Linked DNA regions of Saccharomyces cerevisiae S288C. The protein of the gene in region 3 interacts with the protein of the main gene of each other region in a biochemical or structural test. Each region holds a gene or a part of one and is shown on either strand. Other genes may lie near its edges. The genes, in order: COY1, NYV1 and SED5.

Region 1 (4,267 bases), on a different chromosome or scaffold from region 3:
TGGTATCGCTCGTTACAACGGTTGCCAAAACTTATTGTCTCCGACATGGATTACCACTGTTTTGTATACCATGTGGATGCTTATATGGTCATTTGTGGGCGCTGTTTATGCCACCTTAGTACTGTTCGTGTTTTATAAAAAACGCAAGGACGTTAGGGATATTTTACACTGTACCAATTCAGGTTTAAACCTGACAAGGTTCGCAAGGCTGTTGATATTCTGTTTCATTATTATTTTAGTCATGTTCCCTTTTTCTGTTTACACCTTTGTTCAAGATTTACAGCAGGTAGAAGGACACTATACTTTTAAAAATACCCATTCCAGCACCATCTGGAATACCATTATTAAATTTGACCCTGGCAGACCAATTTATAATATATGGCTTTATGTTTTGATGTCTTACCTAGTATTTCTAATCTTTGGCTTAGGTTCTGATGCTTTGCATATGTACTCTAAATTCCTGCGTTCCATCAAACTAGGATTTGTACTTGACATGTGGAAAAGATTCATTGATAAGAATAAGGAAAAACGAGTAGGCATATTGCTAAACAAGCTGTCCTCACGCAAAGAGAGCCGTAACCCATTTTCTACAGACTCTGAGAACTATATCTCCACGTGTACAGAAAACTATTCTCCCTGTGTAGGTACACCAATATCACAAGCGCATTTCTATGTCGACTATAGGATTCCAGATGATCCTAGAAAATCTCAAAATAAAAGCAAAAAATATTTGTTTGCTGATAAAGAAACAGATGATATTCTTGATGAAATAGACCTAAAAGAAAGTAGGCACATCCCTTACGTCACGCAAGGACAGAGCTTTGACGACGAAATATCACTTGGAGGATTCTCAAAAGTTACTCTCGATTATTCAGAAAAGCTTCATAATTCTGCAAGCTCCAATTTTGAAGGGGAAAGTCTTTGCTACTCTCCAGCTTCAAAAGAAGAGAATTCAAGCTCAAACGAACATAGTTCAGAAAATACTGCAGGCCCTTAACACAAGAGTGTCGCATTATATTTACTGGACTAGGAGTATTTTATTTTTACAGGACTAGGATTGAAATACTGCTTTTTAGTGAATTGTGGCTCAAATAATGTAACGATGAGCTCATCAGCTAATATGTGGCTTAGCGGTAAAAATGACGAATTGTGTGTAAACTTTACTTTAATATTTACTGCTTTTTTGCTACTTTGGTTTCTATTTTTTTCTATAGAAAAGCAATAACGTCTGTATTATATATAAATATAAGGAGAAATTGATACAAGTTCCACACAAGAAAAATTTTTTAAGCTCGAAACAAAAGTAAGCTTTTGCTCCAAAAGTCGATTAGCAGAACAGTCTTTAATAAACGAGAGAATTGGCACGATCACTTAATTGGCCATTTTTTTAGGAGCATACCAAAATTCAGGCCAGGAAAACATGAAAGAGCATCATATCTCCGCTCATAATCAAAGAATATTTAGGTACCCACAATTTCAGTTCGCTCTATCACTATTCTGCACACCAAGTTGTAGTGGTTACTTGTGTCATTCAAGAAAACCATTACTGTCATAGAGAATGTTACGTAACAAATGATATTATCTTGGGGCTCATGAAAATGCCAAAATAATATGTTTAAGAGTTTTGAATGAACACAGTACAATAAATTGTGCGTAATTGCTTCATTTCTTCACTCTGTTATATTAGCTCGTCAAAAATAATTTGACAATGGATACGTCAGTATATTCTCATGCATTGGATATTTGGGCCAAGGCAGATTTAACGAATCTTCAAAGAGAATTGGATGCTGATGTTATAGAGATTAAGGATAAAGAAACCCTGTCCTTGAATTCAAGAAAGTCATTAGCCACTGAGACTAAAAAATTTAAAAAACTCGAACCTGAGGAAAAATTGAACAATGTGAATAAAATAATTAAGCAGTACCAACGTGAAATTGATAATTTGACACAGAGATCAAAATTCTCTGAAAAGGTTCTTTTTGACGTATACGAAAAGCTTTCAGAGGCTCCTGATCCACAGCCGCTACTACAAAGTTCGTTGGAAAAATTGGGCAAAATTGATGACTCGAAGGAACTTAAGGAAAAAATAAGCTACCTAGAAGATAAGCTAGCCAAATATGCAGATTATGAGACTTTGAAATCAAGGTTACTGGACCTAGAGCAAAGCTCTGCAAAAACATTGGCAAAAAGACTGACTGCGAAAACTCAAGAAATCAATTCTACCTGGGAGGAAAAAGGAAGAAATTGGAAAGAGAGAGAAGCAGATCTATTGAAACAATTAACAAATGTACAGGAGCAAAACAAGGCACTAGAGGCCAAAATATCTAAAAATATAGATATAGAAGGTAATGGAAACGAAGATGGTGACCAAGAAAACAATCAAAAAGAAGTATCTACAAGGATTGCTGAATATAATCTAGTAACACAGGAGTTGGAAACTACGCAGGCTAGAATATATCAGTTAGAGAAAAGAAATGAGGAACTAAGTGGTGCTCTTGCAAAGGCAACTAGTGAAGCAGAAAAAGAAACTGAGTTACATGCAAAGGAACTAAAACTTAACCAGCTGGAAAGCGAAAATGCATTGTTGAGTGCATCCTATGAGCAGGAACGGAAATCAACATCACATGCAATAAATGAGTTAAAAGAACAATTAAATAGCGTTGTGGCGGAATCGGAATCTTACAAGTCGGAGCTAGAAACTGTTAGAAGAAAACTAAACAATTATTCTGATTACAATAAGATAAAAGAAGAACTTTCTGCATTGAAAAAAATTGAGTTTGGGGTAAACGAAGATGATTCTGATAATGACATTCGCTCTGAAGACAAGAATGATAATACTTTCGAAAGTTCCTTACTATCTGCAAATAAGAAGCTCCAGGCTACTTTGGCGGAATACCGCTCAAAAAGTACGGCTCAAGAGGAAGAACGAAACGAATTGAAAAAATCTGTGGACCAATTGAAGCAGCAAATAGCTACTCTCAAAGAAGCAAATGAAAAATTAGAGACGGACCTAGAAAAAGTAGAGAACGTCAGTCCTCACTTCAACGAGACTGCAAGTATGATGTCTGGTGTAACAAGACAAATGAACAATCGTACGTCCCATAAAATGTCCCCAACGAGTTCTATTATTGGTATTCCAGAAGATGGGGAACTTTCTGGAAACCAATCAACCATTTTACCAATAGTTACTAAACAAAGAGACAGATTTCGTTCGAGAAATATGGATCTGGAAAAGCAACTAAGACAAGGAAACTCAGAAAAGGGTAAGCTTAAACTAGAAATTTCGAAGCTAAAAGGCGACAATACGAAGCTTTATGAACGGATTAGGTATCTGCAATCCTATAATAATAACAACGCTCCCGTTAATCAAAGTACAGAGCGTATTGACGTGGAATCCCAATACTCAAGGGTGTATGATGAATCGTTGCATCCAATGGCAAATTTTAGACAGAACGAATTAAACCACTACAAAAACAAGAAATTATCAGCTTTAGAGAAGTTATTTTCCAGTTTTGCAAAAGTCATTTTACAAAATAAAATGACAAGGATGGTATTCCTCTTTTACTGTATCGGTTTACACGGACTCGTATTCATGATGAGCATGTATGTGATTAATATTAGCGGCTACATGACACCTGAGGTTGGTATAGTACAATCGGCAAAGTCTTCTTCAAATCTCAACGGAGGACTTGGGGGAGCAGAAAAAGTAGCTGCAGGCGTTGGTTCAGTTCATGGCATAAATCGATAGATGCCTTTATTCACTAAATTCTAATAGCTCGGTATGAAGAACGCACACGTTCCGTACTAGAGAGGGAATGAGTAACGATTGACATATTGATATAGACAGTAGCATTTCTTATTATCTTATCTACGGGATTTTTTCAGTTTATGAGCATTTCTTATACCTTTGTTCATTATAAAACTATGTTCAATACTTTGAACGTAGGATTATCCGATATAATATAATAATATTAATAAAAAACTTATTTTAGAGTTATGTGATATGACGGGGAGATAAAATTACATAGATAAAAGATTAAAATTAACAGAGAATTATATTATCATTATTTTTCATCTTCTATTTAAGCAGCAATACGCTTTTGGGCGGCGATTCTACCTCTTTGTCTAGAAGTCAATCTAACGACCTTCTTTTCAGCAGCCTTGGCGACAGCTTCTTCCTTTTCAGTGACAACTAATTCAATGTGGGATGGAGAAGATTCGTACTTGTTGATTCTACCGTGAGCTCTGTAAGTTCTTCTTCTTTGCT
Region 2 (3,276 bases), 130 kb from region 3:
TTGATTTGAGAAAGGCCATAAATCAATATGCAGATAGGCAAGTTGAATTCCACTTTGTGGGTATCATTTCACCATGGGTGAAGAGAGGTTTAATTAGCAGAGGATTTGGTACTCTGAACGAAGAATACAGTGATGAATCCATTGTTGCCGGTCATACAAGTTATCACGTCGCCAGAGTACCTCAAGGCGAAGAAAATCCTGAAAAATATAGCGTTTATACCGCTTCAGGAACAAATCTACCTTTCTTCCATATCGATATCCCAGATTTTGCTAAATGGGATATCTAGCCAATGCATTTACAATGGACATGCAAACATTTATATCATCTCTTTTTTTCTATATTCCTAAACCAAAAAGTTTTCCCCCTTAAAAGTATACATTTAATATCATAATGAGATAGACACTGTTTATATAATAAGAAATAATAGGTAGGATGGTGCCATCGTGAGCATATACATACCTATAAATATTTACCTTATTTTTATTTTATTTTTCTCTTCCTCTCAGGAACAAAAGAAATACAACCGTTATTAATGTTATTGTCGTGGGACAGCTCCCCTTTTTTTTTATTTACTTACCACAGATAGAAAAACATGAAAGCAGCACTTACAAATAGTATAATAGTGAAAGTTAATAACGTAATATTTTTGACCTTCTGCCACCACATTATTTCTTTTATATTGACCGCTTTGCGCCTAAATTTATTACTGCTGCTATTTAGTTGGGAAGTTTTATCCACCAATAAAGAAACTCTTTCTTGTCTCTCCAAGAACTTGTCGATGTTATCGTTCATTATCTGGATGACGTCCTTTATTTGGTCTTCGGTGGCATCCCCGATGTCACTTATAGTGTTCTGACCATTCCCATTACTAGATTGGCCATTTCCAGAACTATTTAAAGTTTGGTTACGGTATTCGACCAGCTCTTCATGGAAAGAGTCTAGTATTTGACCTACATGCGAACTTAAAAGTTCGTTTGTAGCGTTGGACTCGTATTCCTGCAGCCCACTTAGTATCCTGATGGGCAAAATCTTGGGCATATCTACTAATGTGAAGCAAACGTACACAGTTTTGGGGTCATGGTCATCCGTGGAGTAGAAACAATCGAATCCGTCGATGAGATTCATTGACATCTTGGTAACTTTGTTCCCCTTGATCGGAACTACTTTGGGTAATACCATATCCATGATCAAATTATGGAAAATGACCGGCGTTATCTGCTCGTTTGCTGAAGTTATTGTACCATAGTTTTCGTTTTTCTGGAACGGCTGGAAACAACTAGATATTGTTTCACCATTTTTTATAACTTCCACATAACTTACTAAGACCATATGCAAAATCAAGCAAAATGGAACGTTAGTCTACTGAATGTAACATAGTAAAATTATGGCATGGGGGGATGAGCATTCGCATAATCCCTTTTTTAAACATTTGTTAATTGTGTAGAAATATTTATACATACCATTAAAGCGTTTCATTTGGTAAAAATATAAAAGTCCAATGCTCTAACAGCTTAATAAATTGTCGCTTTTCACTCTGTTCTTCAAATTTAATAGCTGTTGCTCCAACTTAGTCAAGTGCTAGAAAATTCATAGAGGGGCTTTTTTTCATCATTATTGTGACCTCATTTTTTCTTTCTTCGATCGTTTGAGGCGAATATTACCCGGGCGCTTGGTGGTAATGCGTTGTTTTAAATATTATATATAATGAATGTGGTGGTAGAATATATAGTTTACTATTTTTAGATAATGCAAATGGGTGGGGTGAAGGCGATGAAAAGGTGGGGGGTCTATCAGAGAAACCTGCTGTCACACCAGCCCTTTACGACATATTGAATCTCTCTCGTAGGTGCGGAAGTCTTATTGGTGACTTTGCCTAAATTTAGTTTTCCGCATGGTTTGAGCATTGTGCCGCCATTGTTGAACCATGGCTTGACGTCTGAGTGTACGCGGACCAAAGAACTTTTCAAATCCGCCGTTGCATGTTCGCTTGCGGATTCACGGCCTTGCGAAGGTTCCGTATTGCTTGTCGTTGCAACAAAGTGCAAATTCCAGGGGGTAGAATCGCCAAAAAGATCATTTCTTGTTTCATGGACCATGTCAGACCATAATTTTTTCCTAGTAATTAGGGCAAGCTTAATATCGTTCGTAGAGACATTTGGCTCCTTTTTGATTTCCAAAGACCGAATTTCGGAATACGTTAGCTGCTTCAACAGATGGTCATCTACTTCGACTTCGGGTAAAATACTCTTCCTTTTACATGATGTTTCAATAGAGTATAACTTTAGGAAATTGGTATTCAAACTTTTTTGTCTTATTCTTTTATTGGGCAAGAGCTCGCTAGATGCAATCGAACCGTCGGTCTCGGGCGATGGTGATGCAGATGGCCATTGTTCTAATTCTACCAGGTCATTTTCGTAAATCATGTTTTCTGTAGTCGATTTGCTCCTACTCTTCCTTCTTGAAGTCTTGCCGCCTTTCTTGTCGATGATTTGGAAGTCCACAGAGGTCGGACGAAGTTTGGCATCGGACGACGCAGAAACCAGTGAAAGGGCAGAGGACGATCGCGGACGCCGTTCGTATACGGGAGGAAAGATATCGACTAAATCCTTAACCTCCCAGTCGTCGAACAAATCGAGATCATTTATGTTTATTATTTTCATTTTGGGCACGACCGGCTCAGCCAGTACCTCATCGCCAATCGCGGGGGTCTGCAAATCGACAGCGTCAGCAATATCATCTGTCAAGGGATGAAGTTTAGAGGAGCTCAATGAAGAACAGTCGCTTTGAGCTTCCTCGGAGAACTTCCTCTTTATGCTCTGTGTTAAGTGGCCCTCATGTATGGGGCATTCGCCCGATAACGTCTTGGCGGAATTTGTTTTCCTAACTTGCGACATGACCGAGCTTAAGGACGGGGTCATCAAAGATGAGCGATTTTCGTTCAGCAGTTCGGAATCGTCTCGAGCCTTCAGTATTCTAGTCCTCTTGAAGCTATTCCTCTTGGTTAGTGTTCTAGTACGTTCAGCGCTTCCTTGACCATCGAACTGCGGCTTAGTGGAGTGGAAATAAATCTCATCGCTCACCGTCCTATTACTTGTGGCGGTCTTGTTCATGCTGGCGCTGGCTAACTTGTTATTCTTCTTATTAGTAGCGGTAGCGTAAAATGACTTGGGATAAAATACCTTTGATGAGTCGCTCCATGAGTGCAATGCGCCATCATCACGTATGCTTTTGATGAGGCAATGTTCATGCACATGAGCATCGTGCATTAGTGTGTG
Region 3 (3,550 bases):
ACTAGTGGCATCTATTATACACAATTACTCCAGTAGCTGCCACAAAGCACCCAAAGATAAGAATAATTACGGAAAATGAAATTTTTACTTTGAATATGATGATATGGGCATTGCAGGTTTGTAGTAAGAGCAATTTACAGGAATTCCTGACGGAATATTAATGTTTTCTTACTGTTTAATGCGATGTACATATTGTCAATACTAATGGTCACCACTGGAAATGGCTATCTTTCGTCTTCGTGAATAACGATCGCCGAGAGTCGGACCGAGTGAGTCAGCGTGATCGGCCTCATTTACCTTGTCGCCTTGCACGTCGGTATATAAACGTATGTGGATACTTTAAGAAGGGAAAGCGCAACCGTCCAAATTCTAATGAACAAAAGAACACAGGAATACAAGAACACAAGAGCGATAATGTCTGCCACTCTGTTCAATAACATCGAATTGCTGCCCCCTGATGCCCTTTTTGGTATTAAGCAAAGGTACGGGCAAGATCAACGTGCTACCAAGGTCGACTTGGGTATCGGGGCCTACAGAGACGACAACGGTAAACCATGGGTCTTGCCAAGTGTTAAAGCCGCCGAAAAGCTAATTCATAACGACAGCTCCTACAACCATGAATACCTCGGTATTACCGGTCTGCCAAGTTTGACATCTAACGCCGCCAAGATCATCTTCGGTACGCAATCCGATGCCTTTCAGGAAGACAGAGTAATCTCAGTACAATCACTGTCTGGTACGGGTGCTCTTCATATATCTGCGAAGTTTTTTTCAAAATTCTTCCCAGATAAACTGGTCTATTTGTCTAAGCCTACTTGGGCCAACCACATGGCCATTTTTGAGAATCAAGGCTTGAAAACGGCGACTTACCCTTACTGGGCCAACGAAACTAAGTCTTTGGACCTAAACGGCTTTCTAAATGCTATTCAAAAAGCTCCAGAGGGCTCCATTTTCGTTCTGCACTCTTGCGCCCATAACCCAACTGGTCTGGACCCTACTAGTGAACAATGGGTTCAAATCGTTGATGCTATCGCCTCAAAGAACCACATCGCCTTATTTGACACCGCCTACCAAGGGTTTGCCACTGGAGATTTGGACAAGGATGCCTATGCTGTGCGTCTAGGTGTGGAGAAGCTTTCAACGGTCTCTCCCGTCTTTGTCTGTCAGTCCTTTGCCAAGAACGCCGGTATGTACGGTGAGCGTGTAGGTTGTTTCCATCTAGCACTTACAAAACAAGCTCAAAACAAAACTATAAAGCCTGCTGTTACATCTCAATTGGCCAAAATCATTCGTAGTGAAGTGTCCAACCCACCCGCCTACGGCGCTAAGATTGTCGCTAAACTGTTGGAAACGCCAGAATTAACGGAACAGTGGCACAAGGATATGGTTACCATGTCCTCCAGAATTACGAAAATGAGGCACGCATTAAGAGACCATTTAGTCAAGTTGGGCACTCCTGGCAACTGGGATCATATAGTAAATCAATGCGGGATGTTCTCCTTTACAGGATTGACTCCTCAAATGGTTAAACGACTTGAAGAAACCCACGCAGTTTACTTGGTTGCCTCAGGTAGAGCTTCTATTGCTGGATTGAATCAAGGAAACGTGGAATACGTGGCTAAAGCCATTGATGAAGTGGTGCGCTTCTATACTATTGAAGCTAAATTGTAATGATTAAATAATACTTATACTTACCTATTACACTCTTCATATTTTTTTTAATGTAAAGAAAGTAAAAAAAAAAAAAAATAAAAAAAAGAGAAATGCTCTTTCTTTACCTTCACAGGTGTATTATTATGTTGTTGTAATATCCGGGTAGGTTTATTGATCGAGGCGAGGCGAAAGGGCATATTCGAAACAATCATTATGATAATAATGTCAATATAGAAATTGAAAAAAAAAAAAAAATCCTACCGCCGCATCGACGCTCCTGTTAGACCTTTGAACGGAAATCACCCACTCTTTACTGTATATATTTTATTCCACCTCTGTTTCCAACGACCATTTCACCATACCACACAACTCCCATGAACATAAAGGATAGAACTTCAGAATTTCAACAAAGTGTGTTGAGTTACAAGAAAAGAAACAAAAACTTTAGAGAACAGCAGAGGGAACGTCTACAAGAGAAAGAAAGTGAAAACTTTGCCAACAACACAACCGGCAATGGGAAAAGTGTCTCTGAGTTTCAAAAAAAGGCTTCTGGCATAGCTCACGAAATTTCATCCACCGCACAATTATTATCGAAATTAGCAGTGCTGGCCAAAAGGAAACCGATGTTCAATGACAACCCTGTAGAGATTGCCGAGCTATCATTTTTGATCAAAAGGAAGATTTATGCCATCGAACAAAGTTTAGTGCAATTAAGTCAGCTCAAGAAAACCGACGTGAATGGCAACACATCAAATCAATCTTCTAAGCAACCTAGTGCCGTACAGCACTCCAAAAATGTCGTAAATCTTTTAAACACGCAAATGAAAAACATATCAGGAAGTTTTAAAGACGTATTGGAGGAAAGGCAACGACTAGAAATGGCTAACAAAGACAGATGGCAAAAACTAACCACCGACACTGGACATGCACCAGCTGATGACCAAACGCAAAGCAATCACGCCGCGGACTTGACCACGTATAACAACTCCAACCCATTCATGACCTCACTACTAGATGAATCCTCAGAAAAGAATAACAACTCGTCCAACCAAGGAGAACTGTCTTTCCCTCAAAACGACTCTCAACTAATGTTAATGGAAGAGGGACAGTTATCCAATAACGTCTACTTACAAGAAAGAAATAGGGCGGTGGAGACAATAGAATCCACAATCCAGGAAGTGGGAAATCTCTTCCAACAACTGGCCTCCATGGTTCAAGAACAGGGCGAAGTAATCCAAAGGATTGATGCAAACGTAGACGACATCGATTTAAACATTAGTGGTGCTCAAAGGGAACTTTTGAAATACTTCGACAGGATAAAGAGTAATAGATGGTTAGCCGCAAAGGTTTTTTTTATAATCTTTGTATTTTTCGTTATTTGGGTTTTAGTCAATTAAAAGCAAAGTAAAAGAAAAAAAGATACATATTTGATTATTTATTTTTTTTCCTTCTCTCATCTTTTCTGTACAATAATATAGCAATAACAGATAAAAATAATGAATGCACATTCCCTTCTATACCTATGAACGCAAAAAAAAAAGACAACAAAAAAATAAAAACTATTAATTATGACTTAGCATTATGAACTTCATGTATATAAAAGAGCGTATACAGAACATGGAAAGTAAGAACACCTTTTTTTTTTCTTTCATCTAAACCGCATAGAACACGTTCAAAGCCCCATTTCTGCTTGTAGTTCTCTTAATGCTTTTTCATCTTCATCTTCTTCATCCTCTTCCTCTTCCCCGTCCTTCACAGAGTTCTCACTTTGTTTAATTTTATTACTTGGAACACTAGGTAGTGAGACTTTGTTCTCTGAGATAGGCGCCGCATTAACATTATTATTAACGATCTTGGACGTTTCTTGGTTAGCATTTTCTTGAGCCAGCATGTCCAA

What was found.
Region 1: the proteins of SED5 (region 3) and COY1 form a complex in vitro, tested with the Saccharomyces cerevisiae proteins (one study listed by BioGRID).
Region 2: the proteins of SED5 (region 3) and NYV1 form a complex in vitro, tested with the Saccharomyces cerevisiae proteins (2 studies listed by BioGRID).

Annotation. Positions count from the first base shown.
Region 1 is NC_001143.9:109,945-114,211, reverse strand, and holds COY1 (CCAAT displacement transcription factor COY1), read left to right. Parts: upstream 1-1,708; coding exon 1,709-3,748; downstream 3,749-4,267. Other genes in the region: STE3 (Ste3p), read left to right, coding at 1-997; 60S ribosomal protein uL22 RPL17A, read right to left, coding at 4,083-4,267. UniProt on the Saccharomyces cerevisiae protein: May be involved in intra-Golgi transport.
Region 2 is NC_001144.5:325,939-329,214, forward strand, and holds NYV1 (Nyv1p), read right to left. Parts: upstream 1,478-3,276; coding exon 1,462-1,477; intron 1,321-1,461; coding exon 575-1,320; downstream 1-574. Other genes in the region: SUL2 (sulfate permease), read left to right, coding at 1-287; GIS3 (Gis3p), read right to left, coding at 1,792-3,276. UniProt on the Saccharomyces cerevisiae protein: Vacuolar v-SNARE required for docking. Only involved in homotypic vacuole fusion.
Region 3 is NC_001144.5:194,950-198,499, reverse strand, and holds SED5 (t-SNARE syntaxin), read left to right. Parts: upstream 1-2,027; coding exon 2,028-3,050; downstream 3,051-3,550. Other genes in the region: aspartate transaminase AAT2, read left to right, coding at 415-1,671; ESCRT-III subunit protein SNF7, read right to left, coding at 3,326-3,550. UniProt on the Saccharomyces cerevisiae protein: Required for vesicular transport between the endoplasmic reticulum and the Golgi complex. Acts as a target organelle soluble NSF attachment protein receptor (t-SNARE).